Canis lupus familiaris: one gene and its partner. The protein of the gene in region 1 purifies or fractionates together with the protein of each later gene. This does not show direct contact. Links are inferred from orthologs where the notes say so. Each region holds a gene or a part of one and is shown on either strand. Other genes may lie near its edges.

Region 1 (11,741 bases):
GGGCAGCCCCCGGGCCTCAGCACCCCCTCACCGGTATCTCCTCGGAGGTTGGCTCCCGGGGCAGGTAGAGGCGTGGGGGCTTGGGCGGGGGCCTCATCTCTTCTCCCAAGGGGCTCTTCTTGGGTGGGACATTACTATGTGGAGAAAGTAGACACATGGCAGGGCACAGGCAGATGGAATAGCCATAGGGACAAACACACGGCGATGCCAGAGACAGACAGATGGAGGATCAGAGGGTGAATGACGGGAACAGAACAACACCAATTGCACCTGGAGAGAGGCAGATGTGGCAGAGAAGAGGGCGGCTGAGGCGGGGTGGCTCCTCACCTGGGCGAGGCAGGCTCGGCAGCTCCCCGGGGTGTGGCTGGAGTCTGGGGACATGCTTTGGGGGGGCTGATTGTGCTTGGGGAGCTGCAGGGGGGCAGCAGGCTCATGACCAAGCGTCCCCAGGCCGCCATGCTGAGATTCATCTGGGAAGCTCTCAGAAAGTCCTGACCTGGGACAAAAGGAGGACTCAGTCCTGGGGCCCCCAATAGCCCCTGCCCTGCCCCCTAACTGCAAAGCTGTCTCCTGGCCACACCTCTGCGTTTAGAGAAAATGCGTTTCTGCCTCTGTAGCCGGGGCCTCCTCTCAATGACAGGGTCACAGAAGGTCACCTGCAGGGGGCAGAGGGCAGGGCTGGAGACAGGTCCCTTCCCATCCCACCTGCCATCAGGGTACCTCCCTGGTTCCCAGGATCTCGGCCTGAGCCCCCAGCATCAATGATGCAAGAGCCAGAGGGGTCCAGAGAAGAGAGGCACTTGTCCAGGGTCACAAATGAGGCCAGATAGTCTGGACCAAGATGTGGGCCTCTAGATTCCCATGCAGTCCCCAGACAAGGGCTGGGAACCCATAGTCCTGGAGCCCTGCTCCCTCGGGGCCCCAGTTTCCACTCCTACGTGTGGATGGATGAGTCACATTGTTTTGAAGGCCCTTCTAACTCCGACGGAGCTGGGGCCTGTCAGGTCAGAGGGCAGGGTCTGGGGCACCTGGGCAAAGAGCAGCCCCTGTGGCACCAGACTGATGGAGAGCTGGTGACAGGCATTGTCCAGGAAGTCCTCCAGCCGCAGGAAGGCCACGCCACACAGCTGCCGCCAGTCCCGCCAGCGCACCCCGATCTCCAGCTCCCGGGCCTACGTTGGGAGGGCCAGGTTGAGGAGTGGGGCATGGCACATGCCCCTACCTGGCCGGCCTTCCGCCCCCTGGCCTAAGGTCATGCCTGCCCACCCCAGGGCTCACCCGCTCCAGGGGGACAATAAACATCTGGTCCCAGGACTGCTTGGCCACCGGCGCCCAGCCAGTCTGGCCCACGCCACGATTGTCCACTTTCAGCACAGCCATCACCTCACCTGCCAGGCCAGATAGGGGGCTCAGAGCCAGCAAGGAGCGGAGGTCCTTTGCTGCCCCCAGCTCCCTGCGGCCCCTACTCACTGGCCAGATCTCCTCCTCCACGCTGAGGCTTGGCCCTGCCCCGGAGCCAGCCCTGGGAGGGGCTCCCGGCCAGTGCAGCTGCCGGGGACCGTCCGGGGACAGCCTTCAGCAGCTGCTCACAGCCCAGGAGGCGGACCTCCAGTGTCCCTGCGGGGAGCACGCAAGAAACACTGTCAGTGCCATTCTCTCACTGCCACAGCCAGGTCCCCTGGGACCGCAGGAAACCTACTTTCTCTCAATGATGTCTGAACCCAGACCTTGCCCACATTAGTTGGGGTATTTAGCCAGGTGACAGGATATAAGGTGGCCCCAAGTAGCCAGACAACTTCTAGGCCTTTTTAGCAAGCCATACCCCCGCCCCGCCTTCCCTAACTTGTCTACTTGGCCAACTCCCAGAAGCCCTTCAAGGCTACATGTAGACACCACCTCCTCCAGGAAGCATTCCTTGATTCCTTCTCAGCTCTGCTCACAATGGGAGCTGGCCCGTCCAACCCTGAACCAGCTCTGAGCAGGAAGGTGCCGGGCTCTCTGGCTGGCACTGTGTCCCGTGTAGGAAGTTCAGGGTTTCCAAAGTCAGCATGCTTAAATTATTTGTTGATTACAATTCAGCTACAATTCAGACAAATTCAGCTCAGGGATAAGAAAGAACTTCCTAGTAGTCCAGACTGCCCAGGACTGGTTACCAAAGGCCTCCAGGGCTGTGAGCTCCCCTAACACCGGCACTCTTCACATTGTCATCATGGTTTCTCATTTTGATAACAGCTTCACCGACCACGTTTGGACGATGCCGGCACTGTGCCTAGCACATCACAGGTGACAACTCACTGAATTTCACAGCAACCCTACAAAGTAGGTGCTGTTATCATCCCCATTTGACAGAACATTAAGCTGAGTCCAGAGAGTGGAAGTCTGTTGCCCGTGTTCACAGAGCTAGAGGGTGGTGGGACCAGAATCAAAACTCTCCAAAGTCCTCCCCCTCTGTGTTTCAGGGTACCCTTTGCAAGAAAAGGGGAGCCCTGAGGTGAGAGGGACTCCTGGCTACCTGTCATGGCGGTGGGCTTCACAAGCACCCCTGAAGGCTGAGGGTTCCCAGACACGGCCGTCCGCAGCTCCCGGGCCACCCGGCCACGCAGAGGATGAGCAGGAGGTAGTCCCTCCAGCAGCTGCTCCAAGGCCAGTCGCAGCAGGTCCAGTTTCTGGGAGGACTCCTGGAGCTGGGCCTGGGCCTGCAGGGCAGATAAGGGGAGGGGGCACAGGCCCGTGACACACAGGTTGGGGCTGGGGACAGCAGCTCGGACCACCTGGAGACACACACACGCCCTGGCCGCCACGAGGTCTAGACACAGTGGGCTCCCTGTTCCCACCCGGCACAGCCATCCCGCAGTGCGGAGGGCGCAGAGAGGGGCAGTGGTGAGAGGGCGTCACGGTCTGACCTCGGCCAGGGCCTTCCGGTCTTGAGTCCGCTGGCCACCCAGTAGCTTCACCACGTTCTTGGCACCCTCGGCCACAGCAGCCTCAATATGCAGCCGATGTCTTAGCTCCTCTGCCAGCAGCTCGGGACCTGGGAGGAGGCAGTCAGCTCTGAGGCCCATGCCCTGCTCTGCCCGGCCCGGCCCGGCCGGCCGGCCCCTCCCAGCTTCTCAAAGCCTCACCTGGTTCAGGGGACCCACTGGCTTCCAGGCTGCTGATCTTCATTCGCAGTAGAGCCACCTTCAGCTGGCTGTCCCGCAGCATCTGCTGGGCAGCTGCCAGGAGCTTCCTCTCCTGTGGGGTCATGAGGTATGCCCTCGTCGCACCCAGGCCAGCCCAGGGCCTCCCTGGTCAGACCAAGGCTGAAGCCAAGCCTCCCTCATCAGCCTAGGTCTGGGGCAGAGCCTCCTCCATCAGATGAGACAGGGCTGGGGTCAAACTTCTCCAATCATGTCAGAGCCAAGCTCCCCACATCATGCTGGGAGTTGGGGCTGGGAGTGGACCTTCCCTATTAGACCCAGAACAGGGCCTGGGGTTTCCCCATTAGACTGAGTTGTGCCTTCTCTGTTAAATTAGGGGTCCAAGCCATGCCTTCCCCACCAAGCTAAGATTTGGGGCTATGGCTCCTCTATCAGACTAATAGTTGAGACAATGTCTCCCTTAATAGGTCGTTGGCTAGGTTGCATTCCCTACAGGGGCTGGGGCAGCACCTCCCCTACTAATCCGAGAGCCACATCTCTCCCCACAGACCCCGGGAGCCTTACCTTGGGCGTGCCGTTGGCATATGTATGCGTCATATTCTCTGCCCCCTGCTTCACCTTCAGTTCCACCTGCAGCTGTCTCTGGAGAGCCTCCAGGTGCCGAGCCCTGGGCTGCTCTGCAGGTGGCTGGGGTCCCGGGGCCACAGGTTCTGTGCAGTGTGGGGTACATGAAGCCCTTACCCAGAGCCAGGAGCCCCCTACTCTATGGCCTTGCTGTCTCCTCCCCTCCCCTCCTGGGCAGGGGGACACCTGAGAAGGCTATGAGATTGGTCAGGACCAAGGTTGAGAAGCTGGCTGGGTAGACCTCCCCAGCACCTCCTGTCCCCGAGGGCCCGAGGGTCCGCTCAGACTCCACACTCACCAGCCTGGCCAGGCCCAGGGCCGGGCAGCAGGATGCGTGCATGCAGCGCCCTCAGCTCTCCGTGAAGCTGCTCCAGGCGGCGATTGGAGGAGCGCAGGAGCTGCTGCACATGGCCCAGGTGGCGGCGGTCTGTGGCTACCCTCCGCAGGTTCTCTACACCCTCCTTGATTTTCAGCTCCTTCTGGATGGCACGGCGGATCGCCTCTTTCTCATCCTCCGGGGGCCGCTGGTTGGCCCCAGGCTGTGGAAGGGCAGAGCAATAATGGTCCCGTCCCCAGCCACCAGCGGCCTCAGGTGCCCACAGATGGAAGGAGAGGGAGGCACGCCCAGCAGCCAGGGTGGACACCCGGGGCTTGGGAGGCATCTCTGACTTTCCAGCTAGTATCCCCAGGCCAGATGCAAACCCCAAGACTAGGCATCCTGCCCACGCTCCTGTCCTCTGCCACTAGGGAGGAGGGAGAGGGAGAAATTGTCAACATTTACAGGCAACTCTTGAACAACATGGGTTTGAACTGCACAGGTCCACCTTATAAGCAAATTGTTTTTGATCATACAGTACAGGGCTGTAAATGTATTTTCTCTTCCTTATGATGTTCTTAATAACATTTCCCTTTTTTCTAGCTTCTTTTATTGTAAGAACACAGTATAGAATACACATAACGTACAGAGTATGTGTTAGTCCACTGTTGATGTTATCGGTAAGGCTTTTGGTCACCGGTAGGCTACTGGTAGTTAAGGTCTGGGGGAGTCAAAAGTCATACGCAGATTTGCAACTCATGGCAGGTGGGGTGTGTCAGTGCCCCAGACCCCTGGGTTGTTCAGGGTCTGTCTCAGAACTTTGCAGACACTGGTCTGTGGATCCTCACGACAATCCCATGAGGTTGGTATAGTTATGATCCCCATTTTACAAATGGGGAAGCTGAGACACAGAGAGGTTAAGCAACGTGCCCAAAGTCACAACACCGAAGAGGGGATGCCACCTTCCTTCCCCCTTGCCAGTCACGCTTAATCAGGATGCTCTCTCCAAGACTGCGATTCTGAGATTTGGGGCCAAATTTGAGGCCAGAAAAGAGGCTAGGGAACCCCCCAAGGTCACACAGAGAGGGCAGCCAGAGGCCTGAGTAGGGGCCAGGGATGTTCCCTCAGGTAGCCAAGCAGAGACACGGAGAGGGGCTGAGGAGGTCTCCCGGGGCCATTCCCAGCTCAGCTACTGGGAGGAAGCAGAGGCTTTCTCACTATTTCACCCCAGGTGGGAGCAAGAAACAGAAAAATCTCTTTCTCAGAAGCTAACATTTCAAACCAACCAGTGCCAAAGCTGACCTCTGTCCAGAGTAACCCACAATGCCCCCGACCCCAAGGGCTCCTGCGGGACTTCCACCTTACCTCTCGGCTCTCCATCTCCTGAGCCCAGTGTTAAAGGTTGTCACCCCAGTCTCAGGGCCCCCCCCTACTCCAGGCCTCTGCTGGCCTGGTAGTCAGAGGGCAGGGGCGGGGCTCAGGAAATCCTTTGAGGGCCCTAGGCCAGAGGGCCAGAGCCAAAGGCCTGAGCAAACAAAGATCCCATGGAGCAGGGGGCCTGGCCACCGGGGTCCTGAGTCACCCAGCTGCGCTGCTGGGCGGAGGTTCACAGGAAATCGGAAAATGTGCACAAGCTGCTGCTGGAACAGGCGGAGGGACCTCCGGAAGAAGGGAGTGGGAGGGGGCAGATGCAGTGCTTAGGGCTGTCTAGGCCCTTGGGGTGGGGGCACTCGAGCCTTGTGGAGGACACTCCACCCTTGAGCATACCCCCACCTCCTGTCTGCTCTGGGCGGACATACACACCTCTCCCTTGCTGCTCTACAGCTGGGACCCCACCCCATTCGCTCTGAGTAGACCTCCACCCCTCCCTCCCCAATAACAAACACACGGCTTTGGCTGCTGTGTCCACCAGCACCTACTGCCAGCACTGGCAGGATCCCAGCCTCCCTGCCATTTGGACTAGAACCCTGTGTACCCGAAGGTTCCCACCCAGGTGCTGGGCAAGGCCCTCCGGCCCGGCCAAACCCCACATGCCTTCGTGATCCGGGTAGGACCACCCCCCCAAGAGCCCAGGGACTGGTGCCCTCCTGGGCTCTCTTCTCCCTGCACACTCGGATTCCTCTCCACGCAGGACCGGCCCCAGTGCGCCCCAGCGCCCCCCTTTGCTTTCTAGGTCGATTCCCATCGGCCTTCCAGTCCTACCGGGAAGAGCTGATTTTAGGCAACTTTGGCGCCCATGCTGGTGGCCCTGACTGCTGGCCTGACCAGAGGCTCTGAGTCCCTAGGGGGTGATCTGGGGGCGTTTTCAGGGGACATGAACGACTCACCCCCGTGCTCAGGTCTGCCCTGCGAGGTGCAGCGAAGCCCGGGGCCGGGACTGAGAAGGGACCCGGGAGGGGATGCGGGTCGGACCTGGGGGTCGCGGCCGGGGCTCGGGGTGCCCGCGGCGTGCACGAGGCTCCCCGGCGCCCTGGGCCCGCGCCCGCAGCCCGGCCTCCGCGGGCGCCGTCCACCTGCCGCGGCGCCCCCTCCTCCATGGCGCCGCTCCGGCCGCTCGGCCCCTCCTCTCGCCCACTGCGGTTCCGGAAGCCCCGGCCCCTCCGCCAGGACTTTCAAACTTGAAACTTCCCGGGAAGCGGAGCCCGAGCCGCGGGATCGGGCGCCCCCTCCCGAGGCCGGCTGGCGCTCGCGGGCCCCGAGATGAGCGCCGCCTGTCGGCCGCCAGGGTCTGCGCCCGGGACCCCAGGGCTCCAGCCGACGCCCCGCTGGCTCCGGGGCCCCGCGTCCGTCCTGAGGCCGCAGTCCCCGGCCCGGGATAGAAGTGCGGGGAGGGACACCTCCCGGGCCGGGGTTCGCCAGCTGCCCAGAGGGGTCGGGGGCGACAGCGCCGCCTGCCGGCCGCCGGACACTGCCCGTGGGGCCGGCTCAGCCCCTTCCTCCGAGCCGTGCCACCACCTGGTTCCCGCCCGCAGCCTTCTCCTCGTCTTAGATCCTTGGTGACAAGTGGGTTAATCCCAAACCCGTCACCCTCACGGAGTCTTGTCCCTGTCTAGAGTCACTACTATAAGAACGTCTGCAACTGAAAGAAAGTAAAGCCTCCCCCAAACCCTCCCAAATTACAAACCATGGATGAATAAACCAAACATCTCAGGCTCCGCCACTCAACCACAGTGGAGCTTTCTGGGTCGGCCAGGGCTTCCCTTGTCCTCAAGAATCCACCCAAACAGAAGACACACACCGTAGGAAAGAACCACTATTTCAGGAAAGCCGACCAGTGGGCACCAACTGACCTGGCAGCGGCTTGCCTGTATAGGAATTCTGGTATCCTGTGCTAACTGGCACCCTGTGCCAGGACTTCACTGGAAGGAGCCTGGCCCAAGGGTCTGGAGGTGAGTGGGGATCAAACATGGAAGGTGGCCGATTTGATGACTCGGAACAGGTGCCTTCCTGTACTTTTACTGAAGGAAATCATGTCAGTTGCACTTTGCTCTGACCACCCTCCCTCCCCAGAGTGGAAAAGGTGATACTGACAAGCCATGACAGTCCTGGGTTGTCCCGCAATGGGAAATCAAGCAGATGACACCAACGTATGCAAGAGCAACTGGGTTCAGTGGGGGGCATGCCTAAATTTCATAATCAGAGGCATGTCCAGGTTGCCAAGGGCTTAGATAACAGCACATAGTAGGCTCTTTTAAATGGGGGTTGAGGGGAATCCCTGGGTGGCTCAGCGGTTTGGCACCTGCCAAACCCAGGGCGTGATCCAGGGCGTGATCCTGGAGTCTCGGGATTGAGTCTCACGTCGGGCTCCCTGCATGGAGCCTGCTTCTCCCTCGGCCTGTATCTCTGCCTCTCTCTGTGTGTCTCTCATGAATAAATCAAATCTTTAAAAAATAATAATAAAAATAAATGAGGGTTGTCATCAAGTTGTGTTGAGTTGAATGTTTAAGCATAATTTAGAGCAAAAAAAGACAATGTTTCTGACTGCTAGTCATAGGACTGAAGGAAAGGACAAAACAAGCTAGTAAAGCTCTTTTCAGCATAATGTCTCTCTCCCATCCTGAGGATCATTTATCTACTACAGCCAAGAAAGCTGAATTATGTGAAAGAAGTCAAAATGATTTTCCAAGTTTGCTGTGTGTTCTACTGCTTCGCTGGTCAACAAAGGAAAGGAAGTCAGAAGTAGCAGAATCCATGAACCCCAGGCTGGGCAAACCCACAAGGAAACCAAATCCTAGGCTGATGGAGAAGCCTGACCAAATAGCTTCATCCTTTCTGATGGTACTTCATGAAACTGCTAATTCTTAAGAAAATTGAAGTTCCCTTCACATTCAGCATCCAGTGGGTAGTGAATGGTGCAAACAACTCTCCAGCTAACTGGCGGCTAAAACTGTATAAATATCAACTCAAAGAAATATAAAACTTCCTAGCAGGGCACATTAAAAAAAAAAAAAAACAACACAAAACACTTTTTTTTCCTTTCTATACTTCCCTTCCTGGTATGGCAAACATCCGTCTATGTTTAGATTTGCTGCCCTTGGGTAGTAGGGAGTATGCAATATCACCAAGTAATCAAGCTGGCACACTCCCCATTCACTATTCTTGTTCTAACCACAAAACTGCAGTCTTTTCCCTCGGACCTATTAAAAAGTAAACTTCTAAAGTCTTCATGAACACAGCCACGTGTTCAAATGGGAATGCTGGGATTGTGTGTGTGGGGGGGGGTACTTTTTCCTAATGTAAGATGTCCTCTTTATTTTTTTTTTTTTAAGATTTTATGTATTTATTCATGAGAGACACACAGAGAGAGAAGCAGAGACAGGGGCAGAGGGAGAAGCGGGCTCCATGCAGGGAGCCTGACGTGGGACTCGTTGCCGGGACTCCGGGGTCACGCCCTGGGCTGAAGGCGGCAATAAACTGCTGAGCCATCCAGGGATCCCCAAGGTGTCCTCTTTAAACAATTGGAATGGCTCGTCATTCATCTCCTAAAGAACTTGTCTTGCTCTTCAGAAATCCTGAGTCTTCACCTTCTATAACAATTCTGCCTTTTCATAGCAACCTAACCAAAAAGGTCAAAAGCCAAACCTGTTTTCAGGACCAAGTGAAACCCTGAGACTAGTTGTCGAAAAGCAGTAATGGTAAAAACTACCAAATTAATTCAGAAATACAACTGAGTAGGAATCCTCTGAAGCCCAGAAGGCCCCCCCAAATCCATCACGTCAAAAACCCATACCTGTTGGCAGCCAGACAGCTAACACAGGTGAGAAAACAGGCCAGATATAAAGCCCATGTCAGTCAGAGACAGGCAAGATTCTGGGGACATTTAAAACTCTACATTGTACAGCCAGAGCTGGGAGAAACTGCAGGGCCTGTCACAGAGGTCAGGGAACAGTTAAGTCTTAGAAATCAGAACATGTTGGAGAAACAACCTCAACTGCAGGGATGGGTCTAAAAGAACATTCCTTTAGGTTTGAAATTAACTCTAAGGATAGATTACCAAATAGATACATTATCTATACATTGTCCCCTGTGCCCCTATTCATGTAGTTACTCCCTCATAAGCAGTTTGGCAGTTTTGGAAGATGCCCTCCTCCCAGAGAAACTACAGCAGCCGTTATTTGCCCTTTTCTTTTGAAATGTCCTTGTACCAAAGGAGCTTTAAGCCATTCATTTGGCACTTTCCAAAACACACTGCCCAAAGGCCAGCCTGAGAACTCTTGCAACTGGGTACAAAGCACACTTGCTACTCTGTAGCAAGTTCCAGGACACTGACATTGCCACCTTCCTGTCTCACAGCCCAGCACTCCTTTGCACGATTTGCAGGCACAGGGCAATCTAAAAGGTGATCTCAATAGTTAAGAGAAAATGATCTTTAAGAGCTATTTGAGTCATTTTCTCAAAAGTAAATGTACATCTTAAGAATGGATTAAAGAGGACCTAGGGACGCCTGGGTGGCTCAGCGATTGAATGCCTGCCTTCAGCCCAGGGCATGATCCTGGAGACCTGGGATCGAGTCCCACATCGGGCTTCATGCATGGAGCCTGCTTCTCTCCCTCTGTGTCTCTGCCTCTCTGTGTCTCTCATGAATAAAATTTATAAAAAAACAAACAGGACCTATAACTGATGGTCCTCCGATCTCACTCACCAGCCCATAAATCAGATTTAGTAAGTAGTAACTTTGAGAAACAAAAATTACAGGCCTACTTAATGAGTAATAATTCAAGCAACCTGGCGGACCCCTGGGTGGCGCAGCAGTTTAGCGCCTGCCTTTGGCCCAGGGCGCAATCCTGGAGACCCGGGATCAAATCCCACGTCGGGCTCCCGGTGCATGGAGCCTGCTTCTCCCTCTGCCTGTGTCTCTGCCTCTCTCTCTCTCTGTGTGTGACTATCATAAATAAAGTAAAAAAAAAAAAAAAAAGGTAAAGATAAACTTAAAAAAAAAATTCAAGCAACCAGAGGATTTTTGCTAGCCAAGAGTCCTTTAAATGTTGAGACTTCAATAGGAAAATATTCGATCCCTTCAGGAACCAACTACATTCCAAAGAAGTTTCTTTTCTGTGATCTTTATACCTACCCTTTCATAGACTTCTCCCTGCTACACTGAATGATTTGAAGAGCAGTTTCCCCCATTCCCCAGTCACTACTAATGCAAATCAGACAGAAAAACTACCTTATCTATATCCAAAGGCAAGTAACATGTCTCTAGGAAACAAGGAGAATGACCCCAGTCAAAAAAAATCTTTATGTTCCTTTATTGGAGCAAGATTCCTGACCGGTATACAGTGATGTATTACTAAACAAGACCTGTGCAGAAATTACATACTATCCATCTAGACAGGTTTTCATTACACTTTGCCTATCGATGGAATAGTTCCGTTTATAAAGTTTTATACATCAAAAAGCTTTGAATTTGACCAGGCTGTCCATTAATTCATCTCTGAAAAAGTTAAGTGGCATTTAATTTTAGCTACTATAATTTACAGCATTAAAAAGCTTATGCATTAGGTAGCTTCCCAAAATGGTATCCTATGCACAACGGCATTAAGTAGAGCAGGGCCCGTCATCTCACCCGGATTCACACAGACAGGCGTCGCGTGAGAGCTATATGCTAAATAGCTAGTACTTCGAGACAAAAGTACTCCTGAGTTTCTTACCACCAATACGGACTTCTTACTCTGAGAGTCTGTCTTCTCAGCCACATTTCATAGTGCCAACGAAGACACGCCAGTAACTGCCCTGTGTGTAACTTGGCATTAGAGCACCAGGTCTGTCTGATGGTGGTGGCAGGCACTATTATTATATCCAGGCAATAAAGGCCCGTTTTTAAAAATGCCAATTTGAGACACAACTCAAGGGCACAACATAATCAGAACTCAGTTTTGAGCAATCTGGTATCACAACTGATGTGGGAGAGTTCAGAAATTGATGGCAAACTACACCTACGATGGCTCCTGGCTTTGAAGGCATTAATACATTGATTCAGATCCCTTTCTCAGTCCACACAGCCCTGAGGTCACCCTGCAAAGTGCGTATCAAATAATACGGAGTCAGGGTGACAGAGTTTGACAATACGTTATACAAGTTAAACTTGGAAAATCATATTAAATACACCTGTTCTGAGAGAAAAGCATCAAATCCTTTGTGTACACATTTAGTTTTATTGT
Region 2 (12,041 bases), on another chromosome or scaffold:
TGCTCAAGGGAAAATGAGAAATACAGGGTTACAACAATCCCACAGGATTTTTTTTTACTGCAGGACCTCTCAGGACCTCTAACATGCTAATGTGCATTTCAAGCTTATACAAATGTACATGAAGGATCTGGAGGCAAGAAAGAGAGCAAGGTGCACAGGACTGCTTGTGTGTGGAGTATAGGTTACTTTACTGAAGTAAGCTAATTTACTTGGTCATTTTAGCAGCAACAATTAGGATAAATAGACCAGTTATTTTCACTGACCCAGATCATCCTCAGTCTGTAATTGAAATGGTCTTTGACAGTTTTCTGGTTTCAGCTCAGTTTTGAACAAACTTATTTTGATTGATGGATTATCATTTTTCTTAAATATCTTTCTTCATTTAGTATACATTCCTGTAAATGTAGATATTATCTTTAAATGTTTAGGAAACCATCCTTAAAACTAATGATTTTCCATTTTGGAAACTCCCTAAAAACCATGTATTAATGTGGATGACCAGAATTCAAGAGGAGGTGAAACAATAGATTTTGTGATTAGATCATCATATCATTTAGGGTTCTATCTGGCTTTAAGTAACAGAAAACTCCATTAATAGGGCCTACATAGCTTGTTTTTTTCCCCTTCATGTGATGAGTAGTTGGTAGGTGGGCATTCTAGGGCTGGGTGTTGTGGCTCACAGATATCACCAAGGCACCTGGCATGTGGCATTCATCCTCATGGTTGCAAGATGAATGCTGCTCCTTGATGCATTACACCCATATTCTAGATGAAAAGAATAGGGAGGGAAGGTGGGCAAAAAGTGTGTGTCAGCTGTCCCCTTATCAAAAAAACAAAATCTTGGGCAGCCCAGGTGGCTCAGCGGTTTAGCGCCGCCTTAAGCCCCGGGGTGTGATCCTGGAGGCCCACCCAATAGATTTCTAGTTATAGCTTAATGGCCAGAAAAATGCCACATGGCCAGCAGTAGCTGTATAGAAATCTGAGGAACTGAATTCTTTTTTTTAAAATTTTTATTTATTTATGATAGTCACACAGAGAGAGAAAGAGTGAGAGAGGCAGAGACACAGGCAGAGGGAGAGGGAGAAGCAGGCTCCATACACCGGGAGCCCCACGTGGGATTTGATCCCGGGTCTCCAGGATGGCGCCCTGGGCCAAAGGCGGGCGCCAAACCGCTGTGCCACCCAGGGATCCCAGAACTGAATTCTTTAGCTGCGCACTTGGGGTTCTATTAGTAACATAGCCTAAGTCTGGAATTAGGCTAGTCTGGGGTTAGAATCTCAGCTCTAAAAAAAAAAAAAAAAAAAAAGAATCTCAGCTCTGCTGCTCAGTGATTATGACTTTAGGTTTGTCATTTTCAGTTTCCTCACTATAAAATGGAGATAAGATGATAATGGGGTTCTGAAGACATTAATTGAACTATTTTTTGTAAAATGTTTAGGAGAGTATCTGGTATGCAGTAAATGATATATGTAGGTACTTTCTCAACAAATGAGTAAGGAAAGGACATTAAATTAAAAAGTAGCAGGGATGAAAAATGTGGATAACATATAAAACAGACCTGTATACTACAAGTAATATGAATTTCATTAATTTCTTGAGCCAAGGAATGTTAATTAAGTGCTGCCACCTCCCCCACAGGACCACAAACCATTGGATTTGGAGGGATAGATTACTCTTTCTTCTTTCAAGGAAAATGAGGATTTCATGTCTTTCAGTCAGTTGCTTTTACACTAATGGTAGGGCGTTGGATTTATTTATTTATTTATTTATTATTTATTATTTATTATTATTATTATTACTTTAGGGCATTGGATTTAAAGCCAAAACTTATTAGAGGCTTGTATAGTTACTGATACATTGGGGGCATACCAGCAAATGGTCCTGGAAAAAAAACATACATTTCAGGGTGAGATACCTCCTCTTTCATTCATGGGTTATCTTTTTTTTTTTTAATAAAATTTATTTATTCATGAGAGACACAGAGAGAGAGGCAGAGACATAGGCAGAAGGATAAGCAGGCTCCTCACAGAAACACCAATGTGGGACTTGATCCCAGGACTCTGGGATCACGACCAAGCTGAAGGCAGATGCTCAACCACTGAGCCACCCCGGCATCCCCATTCATGGGTGATCTTATTCCAATTTTAGGCTTGGCTATTATTATTAATTTTTTAGATATATAAAATCTCTTTCTTATAGATATCGTATAGGCAGATAGTTATTTAAGACAAATAGATTTGAATTCTTAGCTCAATTCTACTGCTAACCTTAGGCACCTTACTTCTCTAATCCTTAGTTACTTTATCCGCAAAATAGGGATGGTAACAGTACCTATTTCCCAAATTTTAGTAAAGGCTGGAAATGTAATAAAGAACTTAGCACAGATCCTACTACAGAGATAAAGCTCAATAAATATCATTACTATCACTACCATCATTATTACTTCTTAAAAGCAACTTTATTGAGCTGTAACTTAGACACAATAAGATGCACCCATAAATTTTGACTAATTTTGAAACCTGTGTAACCATCACCACGATTGTGATATAGAATATATTTACAACATCATCCCCAAATTGTCATTTTAAAAATGGAAAACGGATGCCTTATCCAGTAATAATACAAAGGTGAAGTCACTGTGTAAAGCATCATATGGTATTGACTATAAAAAAGAAAGAGTATGTGCTAACTAGAATTACAAAACCATGGAAATATAGCAGAAGGAGCATTCATTTTGAGGGCGTTGGGGAACTAACTGGTCAGACATACTGTTTATTATTGCTTCTGCCTATTTAATTTAGCATTAATTCCCTCTTTTCCTGTCAACAGGAGTTTGTCCTTTGGGGGAAACAACTCCTCCCCAGTGCTTGATGTTTTAGGAGCAGGGCTATTTAACCTCTGGCTTCAGTCTTGTAATTTCTGCTGTAATTCTTGGGGAGAAAACACCTCTGTTACTGCTAATATTGCTGGATATAAGTTTGGAGGAGCAGAGAGCACCATAGAGGAAGGTCAGCTTGTGGGGCGGAGAGAGAAATCTGGTGCTCACATCATCATCCAAGTCTCCTGAGGCTACATCTATTTCTGGTCCTTAGTTACATGAGGGCCTAAGAACCTTCATCATGGACCAGCCCTGTTCTTCAGTTTGTGTTCAGGAACCATGCTCACCTCTGCGTATGTGGGTCAGAGATAGCATTATGAGAAATGAGAATGCTTTCCAGTTTTCTACAAATGGAAGGTCATTGTGTGGCAGATGTAAAATTAACTGGACAACTGAAGTCAGAGATAATACGGATTTACAATGTATATAGTATTACTGAAAGTAGAACTATTTAGATTTAGTGTTTGACTAATTTGAAGGAATTGAGACATATTCCAAGGATATTGGGTCAAATTATTTGGCCTAAATTATTTCTCTATTTTGTTTGAAAGTGATTTTTGTTTTATCTGCATTCATAGCTATGTTGTCACATGAGTTGCTGTTTCTTCCTTATTAAACTTGAGTCCCTCCTGTTGGCATTGTGCACCTCTTAAGTACCTGTTGCTGTTCTAAGAGCTGGGGCTGTAGCAGCAGACAACACAAAACCTCTACCTCATGGAGTTTATTTTCGAGGATGTGAGAGATAACTGCACCTTCCATGTGCCAGTTTCTGTCCTTGATACTACTGCATTCGGATTCTCTTTTTCTGATAGTATTGCCTGAAGTGTGGGAAGTGTTTATGGAAATTCTGGGTTAAATTAATAAGAAATGAAATGTTATCCACACATATTTGTAAATGGGCATATATGTATGTATCGCACACACTTCTTAGCTAAGTAACCTGGCTTAAGTTCCAATTATGGGCCTCAATTTCTCATTTGAAAAGTGGGTATTATCATGGTACCAATATTACCTGGCAGGGATTAAATGCATGTAAATAATTTAGCTCTACTTTATGTCTGGCACAGATGATAGCCAATGTTATTATTAATACATTTATTTTACTTTATACACAATTGCCCCAATATTCCTGCAATGGAAGAATATGAATCATTGTGCCCCCACACCCCCAGTTTGTTTCATTCATTTAACACTGATTGAGTATCATGTGCCAGGCCCACTGTTTTTTTAGTTTTTTCCAGACATGGCTGCAACAGTATCTCCCGTTCTTGTCACTTCCCCACCTAGAGGTACAGTCTAATTCCCTTCTCTTTGCATCTGCGTGGGATTGTGACTTGCTTGTAGCTAATGAAGAAATTAGCTAGAAATTTGTGACTTCTAAGGTTAGGCCATAAGAGGTGGTACAGCTTTTGCCTTGTGAGATGGGGCATTCACAGTAGAATCCTGAAGCTGCCATGCAAGGAGGAAGCCCAAAGTAGGGCACACAGCAGAGAAGCCTTGGGCCCACCCAAGAAGAGGGAGATGCTCAGCTAACCACCCCTGCTCCAGCACCTGTCACTGTCTGACTGGAACACAGGAGAGACTCCTAAGCTGGAACTACCGAGTTAAGCTCTTCCACAGAGACCAGGAGAGAATATAAAAAGATTGTTGTTGTTTTAGAATATTAAGTTTTGGTGTGATTTGTTATGTATCAATAGAGAACCTACCTTTTAAGTGCTCAAGATATGGTATTAAGCAGATCTTTCTCATTCTTGGCAACTGAGGAGCAACTATTTTCAGGATTTTAATTATCTGTCCCACAGCTGTTCGGGCCTGCTCTCAAGTCTAAATTTGTAGATACAGCAGCAAACAGATCATACTCACTCATTCATTTATGTATTCAATAAACCAGGCAATTGATTTCTCAACGTAGATGCCTCTTCTGGCCCCAGAGTTGGCAACCTTTTCCCCATGTTTTTAAGCACCCAGGCCTTCTCCTGTCTCACCAGGCAGCCCTAATGCTCTTCTCCTGTCTCTCCCATCCACTAGCAGCAATTAAGTCCATTCTGTGCTATTCATCTTAGTATGGGTAGCATCTAGTTTAATGCCTGCACATAGCAGATCTATTAAAAAAAAAAAAAAAAAGAACAAACCAAAACCAAAAACAAACAAAAAACCCTTAACTGAAAGCTCCTAGCTCCTGGACACACAAAAATTTATTTCAGGGACAGTCCCTATGCTCTAGGAGTTCCCAATTTAGCACTAGATACTGTGGGATCCAGCCTGACCAGTGCAGTTAAGTGAGCTGCCTGAATGAATTCCAGTAGTGGAACAGAGGGAGGACAGGGCAGCGCACTGGGGGTGGGAGGTGGGGAAAGATTTAATTTAGTCCACATTTGTCAGTCACCGGAGCACGAATGGCACATGTAGCACACGGTAAGCTCTCAGTATCCGTTACCGTATGCAAGCCACTGGCCTAGGTAGCAGGAATGCAGCAGCGCACAAGAAAACTGCAGTGGTCTGTGCCCTCGTGAAGCTCACAGGGTATCAAAGGACGACAGGCAGGAGGTAATTATGTAAAATTGTGCTAGATGCCCAACAGGAAAACAACAGGCAGCTGAAATTCTCGTAAGGATGTTAGAGCCTTTGGCCGGGGAGCATCCGTGGGCGGGTTTTGAGCAGGAGTGGCCATGAGGGGCGGGAAGATTGCGGGCAAGAAGAACTGGTAATTTAAAAATACAAACATTTTCTGCTTGGCTGGAATACGGAGCGGGTGAAAAGGGTGGACATGGTGGTTCGCTGCGCTCGAGGTTCTCCCGGGCTCGGGAGCTGCATCTCGAGTGAAAGCTCGATTGCCCAGCCCTGCAGGGCGGGTTCAGGGGGAACTGCAGCCCCGTTTCATGCTAGGCACATTGAGGGTCCTCCGCTTCCCAGACCTGCGGAAGCAGCACCTCGGGTTCGGGTCCCGGCCGCAGCAGGTCCGCAAGACCCGGAGTGGGGAGCGTCGGCGCCTCGCAGCGATCACCCCTCCCGCACGGGGTCTGCAACACCGCGCGGGCGGGAGGGGGCGGAGCCTGTGTTGCGGACCTGGGCGGTGGCGTGGGCCCGCCCCCCGGCCCAGGCCCCGCCTCCGCACCCCGCTGATTGGGTCAAGGCCGCGGAAGGGCCGGCTGTCCCCGGGAGGCAGGGGGGTCGGGCTGAGGCGGGCGTGCTGATTGGTCCGCCTGGGATTAGGTCATCGCTAGCAGGTTCGAGCGGCCCGGACGCCGGCGGGGCGGCCGAGGCTGCTGTGAGAGGGCGCTCGAGGCCGCTGGCGAGCGATCGGGCGAAGGAGGCGGGGAGGCGGCCGCCGCGCTCGCCCGCCTGCTCGCTCGCTTCCCGGCGCCGCCGCGGGTCGGTGGCCGCGCTTCCTGCCCGCCAGCCGCTCCGTGGCGCGCCGCCGGAGCAGCCGCCCCTCGGCCGGGACCCCGCGCGGGTCGGCAGCCGTGCGCGCCGGCGGACACCGCGCGGAGGGCGAGCCGGGGCCACACCTGTGGAGCCGGCGGGCGTCGGGGGTCCCGGCCGCGGTCCCGCCGCGTGCGTGCTCGGGGCTGCGGGCCTCCCGGGCGCTGGGGCAGGCGCGCCCCCCGGCTGGGCGACGCGGGCGCGATGGGGCTCCCCGCGCTGGAATTCAGCGACTGCTGCCTCGACAGCCCGCACTTCCGAGAGACGCTCAAGTCGCACGAAGCGGAGCTGGACAAGACCAACAAATTCATCAAGGAGCTCATCAAGGACGGGAAGTCCCTCATCGGCGCGCTCAAGAGTGAGTGTCCCGAGCCCGGCGGGGACGCGACCCTGAGGCGGGAGGGCCGTCGGGCGGCCGGGGTCCCGGGCGACGGCCGTGCACGCTGCCGGCGGGCGCGCCGGGGCCGGGCGGGGGCGAGCGAGCAGCGGTCGCCGAGGCGGGCGCCCCGGAGCCCCCCGTTGGCGTTCGGGGCTGGCGGGCGGGGGCCGAGGGCGGGCGGCGCTCCGGGGCCCCGCGGCTGGCTGTGCGCGGCGCACAGGTGTCCCGGGAGTGGGACGCCCGTGCCTGGCGCGCCGCGCACCGCGTTGGGAAGCCCCCTCGCGCCCGCCGCTCCGGCTCGGCTCCCTTGGGGAACGCTTGCTCACCCCGGGGTGCTCGGCCGGGGAAGCGGAACGTGCCCCGGCGGAGGGCGGCTGGGGACCGCCCCGCTCCGTGCGCGCCGGGCTGCCGGGGCCGCCGGGTTCTGCGAAAGGCGCGGGCGCTGCCAGGAAAGGGCCGGGCGCCGCGGCTGGGAGCTCGCGCTTCTGGGGAGCGATCGCGGCCAGTGACCCCGGGCGGTGAACGCGTGCAGGTTCTGATTCTTGTGCTCAGCAGAAGGTGACAGGGGTGGGAGGACAGCATCAGAGTGTTCCTTTACTCTAAACTGTGGGCGGGGGTTTAAAAATAGAACGAACATATCCTGACTCTCTCCCGCTCCCTCGCTCTCTCTCTCTCTCTCTCTCTCTCTTTTTTTTTTTTTTTTAAGCCTCTCCCTTTATCCTTGAAAACTCAAAGGTTTTGAGGGAATGTCCTCCGGCCTCACTCGGAGAGCTGAAGTTAAAACTCGTCCTTAAGGATTCCGGAGCCCTTCGTAAAACCCATTTTTTACTTATTTCCTCTTGGTAGGGGAGAAATGAGATTTGCATTCTGTGTATGGTTTTTCCCTTGACCTTTGCAGAGCCAGAGAGTTTCTCCCGGCCAAACGAAAGTGTTCTAGGGATGAGCTCCTTGGATCGTGAGGTCGATCTTGGTGCTTTTTCAATCTCCCCCCTTTAAAAATAGCTCCGTCCATCTTTTAGTTTTTTGAGTCAGGAATAACATGAAGGAAGATAGTGGAACTGTCTTTGACTTTACTTTCCCGTCTGTGGGATGGATTTCTTCATAGGTGCTACCTTTCAGCTAGGCCAGGTTGCATTGGCTGAGTGGAGTGCTATCTCTGAAAATTGTTCCCAGGCCTCTTGAAAGGGGATTTCTGGAAGTCAATTGCCTGAGATGTCATTTTGTGATCCTGTTGCTTCTAAAAATGTAGGGGGAGATAATGGAACCCCGGGACAGCAATTGCCAATCTTTTGGGGTGAAATAAACATAAAATTGTGGTGTGATGAGGTTCCTCAGAGGCAGGGTCTCTGATGATCTGAGGCCTACCAATAACTCTTCCTTTCCCACTGACCATCTTTGATTCAGGAAACACTCCACCCCTGGTTTGGAGAAAGTTAGGAGCCCACTCATAGACTGGGCCCACGAGTTTTGATTCAGTCTCATTCTGGCTTTAATTGGCCTTCTGCTTTATTCAGCAAACATATGGAGTGCCTGCTGTGTGTAGGTACTGCTGCCCTGGGTCCTGATGATGTAGCAGTGATTATTGTGTTGCCCCTTTGGCAACAGAGACTGACTCCTTGCCGGTGAATTATCTCATGTTATTCATTTTACACACAGGCTTGATGAAGTCACTAGTCCAGAGCCACACAGCTCCAGCAGTGGGACCTAATCTTGCACCCCTGCATGGTCTGAGCCAGAGTCGGAGTTCCTGCTAACACAGAGCTCTTAATCCTCTCTCATCCTGCTTACCCAGAGTGGACCCCCTGGACCAAGCCTGCTAGAATTTGGAACTGCATTTGTATATCTGTCTTGAGTATGAGTAGGGTACATTTGTGTGACTGGGAATTTATTTGCCTGCTACTATTTTTTTTTTTTTTTTTTTTTTTTGGATAGGGCTAAGAATTCCTTGGGTGGGGGGAAATAATGCAGTGATAGGGCTTAAGAATTATTTAAGTTGTCTAATGGAATGGAGCAGCCCTGTAACTTGGGGGAAAGATTAGTAAGGAACTAAATGTTCTAATCTGTTTATATCTAGTTGTATGTATTAACAATACTCTGACAGCTACTATTACCTGAGTAGATCATGTGTGACCTCTTCAGTGGAAAGAGTGGAGTTGATCACTCTTTCCCAGATTTCAGGCATTCCATTATCATTAGGTGCTTGCTACAGTGTGTATTACTGTCTTAGTATTTGTGTATTATTTTTCTTCTGTTCATCCTTTTCATTACTGAAAATGTAAAGCCAGTGTTTTTAAAACTAATTACACGAAATAAATACATAATTATGTAAAATACCCTGGTTTAGATAATTTACAGTCTCTTTGAGCTATAAAATTTTATGGCTTTATTTTATAATTAGTATTCATAGACCTTTGGGTTTAGATTTCCTCCGTGTGATAATCTGAGGCAGTAAAACTAGCCTTTTGGGATTACCAAAGTTCACCTTGATCATTGTTATTATTGCTTTCATTTTGTGCTTGAAGAAACTGAAGATCGATCAGAGAGGTCAGTAACCTGCTTAAAGTAACAAAGTGGTTAAGTATATTTGAACCAGAGCTATCTGATTCCAAAGCCTATGCACTTAAACTTGAAGCAAAACTATTGTCTAGGTCAGTTGTCTCTTGAGTCCCCTTGAGAATCTGATAAATAACCCCCTATGAAGTTTTACCTTGGAAGCCCAAGCCTCTGGTCTGGATACATAGAAGATAAATGATAAAAGATTTGCAACCTACGTTGGTAACGCTGTCAGTTTTCTCTTTCCTGATTTGTTCAGGTCTTTTCTGTGGCTGTCATATGCCCAGAACTCATTCCTTGCCCTGGTGATTCAGTGTTTCATTCGGGAGGATTTTGTGTGTTCAAGACTTTCTGTTTTTCTGTAGAGATGATAGAAGTTGGAGATGAAGTTCAGACTTGTAGAATTAAGTTTTAACATTTCCTGGGTTTGAATCTTAAACCCACCACTTACTGGTAGACTTAGGACAAGTCACTGAGCCTGAGTCCCTCCAGGTAGTAGCCACCCTGACTTTCTAGTGTTGTGAGGACTTAATGAATCAGTCCTTGTAAAGAAAACACTTAGCTTGGAGCCTGGTGCATAGCACTACTCACTTGTTGGTAGCTATAATCATCTGCCAGCTTTCAAGGTTGTCAAGACTCAGAGCAAAAGTAAGAGCAGAGGTACAGTTTTTGGTTTGGGTGCAGGGAGTTAGGCTTATGCCTTCTTCGTAATTTACACAGTTGTGTATGTGTTAACCTCTGGTGGGAAGAATCCTGGTAATCCTATTTGTATAATGTTATGCCAAAAAAAGTTCCACAAGTTAAAAAAAAAAAAAAAGAAAAAAGAGTAAGTTTCCCAACATACTTTCTATTCCAAATAACGTTTTGGTAACTTGAATTTTCAGTCTTCTTGCTAGATTAACATGCCCCCTCAGTGGCTAGGCTGGGTGCGTCTTGACTCTCCTGCCTTGCAGGAATGGACTTTATGGCTGGTCTCATGGACCCAGTGACAAACCAAATGTGGGTTCATAGAAATGAAAGTGAATTAGGCCGTTGGTTTTGAGGGGTGGTATGGGTTTTCAGGAACTGTTTCTTTCCATCTTGAGAGTTGGCTTTTGGACTTGTTGCTGTAAATTTGGCTTCTGCTTTCTCAGATAGAATGAATACCCTTATTCTGATAGTCTAAGGTAGGGCAAAAATGCAAAATTTAAAAATATCAACTCTTTAAAGGTATAATTCACCCTACCATATAGTTCACCCACTTAGAGAATCCAATTCAGAGGTTTTTAGTACATTCGCAGAATTGTACAGTCATCCCTACAGTCAATCTTAGAACATTTCCATCACCCCAAAAGAAATCTGATTCCCATTGGGCATCAATCATTCTCCATTTTCTCCCAGCTCCTCCCTACCTCTGTCCCCAGCCCTTGTCAATCACTGATGTATTTTCAGGCAATAAATATGCCTATTCCAAACATCACAGGTACAATTTTAATAGTTTCCTCCTGGGTGGTGGTGACCAACTTTAGGTACAGAGTTTTTCATTGGAATTTCAGGTGGGGGAACTTTGAATCTATAAGCTGCTCTTCAGGGGGGTTTATGTAGGGGTGAGATCCCAAAGATGGAACCATGTCCTGGAGCTGGGAGAAACCTGGGTATTTTGTGTTTCAAACCCATGAGTGGGGAGTAGATTAGTTTTAGTCCATGGTACTGTGGATGGATACAGAGGAGACCAAGATAAAACTAAGAATCTAGCCCCTTTCCTCTCTGACCTTTCAGTCAAGTTGGGCAAGTTGTGTGATATCCCATAAAGCCCTGACTCTGGGGTTTTATCCTGTTGGGTGACACACCCCCCCCCCCCCCCCCCAAAAAAAAATGAGGTCAGTGTATTTATATTTCTGTAGTTGAGCCTTAGTATTCATGAGACTTTTTGGAGATGATGTGCTTTTGGTTATTGAGCACTTACCAAGTATCTGGCCCTATGCTAAGTGTCTACATTGTCTCATTAGTCCTTACTGCTGTCCTGTGAGATGAATACTCTTATTTTTCTGTGTTTTGGAGTTGGATAACTTTTCTAAGGTCCAAAGCTAAGAAGTTGTGTAGGTTTTGAACCTGGCAATAGACTTGAGGGCTTTCTCTTGAACATGAACCTTTTTTACCTTCAGTTATCATAGTGGTACTGAAGATGCAAATTCTTCATGGATCTAAGCCCTAAAAAGGAGAAGCATGCAGCAGGTGCTAGATTAAGTGAAAATATTATTCTAGTGGTTTTTCAGAACTTGAGACCTGGGTGGCAAAGAATAGCTCGTGTTTTGTATTGTACTTTGGAGTTTTGTGTTTCTCTCCATCATAGGATTAAAGAACAAAAAAATGAGGGTGTTTGACTATCTCTTGCCTTTTATAACAATAGAGTTTTTCTTTGGGAAGTGCTGAGTGATTATCAGTGATTTAAAAAAAAATTAAAATATGTGTACTTTTATAGCATCGCTTTCTTTTTTTAATTAAAAAATTTAAGTTGAGGTATAATTGACATATAACTTTATATTAGTTTCTGGTGATTCTGTATTTGTATATGTTGTAAGAGATCACCACCATACATCTAGTTAACATGTGACCCCATACAGTTAGAATTTTTTTTTTTCTTGTGGTGAGAACTTTTAAGAGCTACTCTCAGCAAATTTTAAACGTATGCTATGTTATTATTAACTATCATCAATATGCTGTACAATACTTTCCATGACTTATTTATTTTAAAACTGGAAGTGATTCTTTTTTAGCTGGGTAATAAACCATCAAACAGGAAGGCCAGAAACCTATTCCCCGGTCTGA

Evidence for each region.
Region 2: the proteins of PKN3 (region 1) and ARHGAP26 purify together in Homo sapiens (affinity purification with mass spectrometry; 3 studies listed by BioGRID and IntAct, with this or other methods). This does not show direct contact. The link is inferred for Canis lupus familiaris from reciprocal best matches to the Homo sapiens genes PKN3 and ARHGAP26.

Annotation. Positions count from the first base shown.
Region 1 is NC_049230.1:54,972,564-54,984,304, forward strand, and holds the start of PKN3 (serine/threonine-protein kinase N3), read right to left. Parts: upstream 5,804-11,741; 5' UTR 5,461-5,803; coding exon 5,446-5,460; intron 4,304-5,445; coding exon 4,063-4,303; intron 3,851-4,062; coding exon 3,705-3,850; intron 3,235-3,704; coding exon 3,123-3,234; intron 3,032-3,122; coding exon 2,904-3,031; intron 2,697-2,903; coding exon 2,513-2,696; intron 1,618-2,512; coding exon 1,471-1,617; intron 1,389-1,470; coding exon 1,279-1,388; intron 1,173-1,278; coding exon 1,029-1,172; intron 657-1,028; coding exon 581-656; intron 497-580; coding exon 328-496; intron 135-327; coding exon 32-134; intron 1-31.
Region 2 is NC_049223.1:36,770,323-36,782,363, forward strand, and holds the start of ARHGAP26 (rho GTPase-activating protein 26), read left to right. Parts: upstream 1-6,446; 5' UTR 6,447-6,505; coding exon 6,506-6,659; intron 6,660-12,041. UniProt on the Homo sapiens protein: GTPase-activating protein for RHOA and CDC42. Facilitates mitochondrial quality control by promoting Parkin-mediated recruitment of autophagosomes to damaged mitochondria.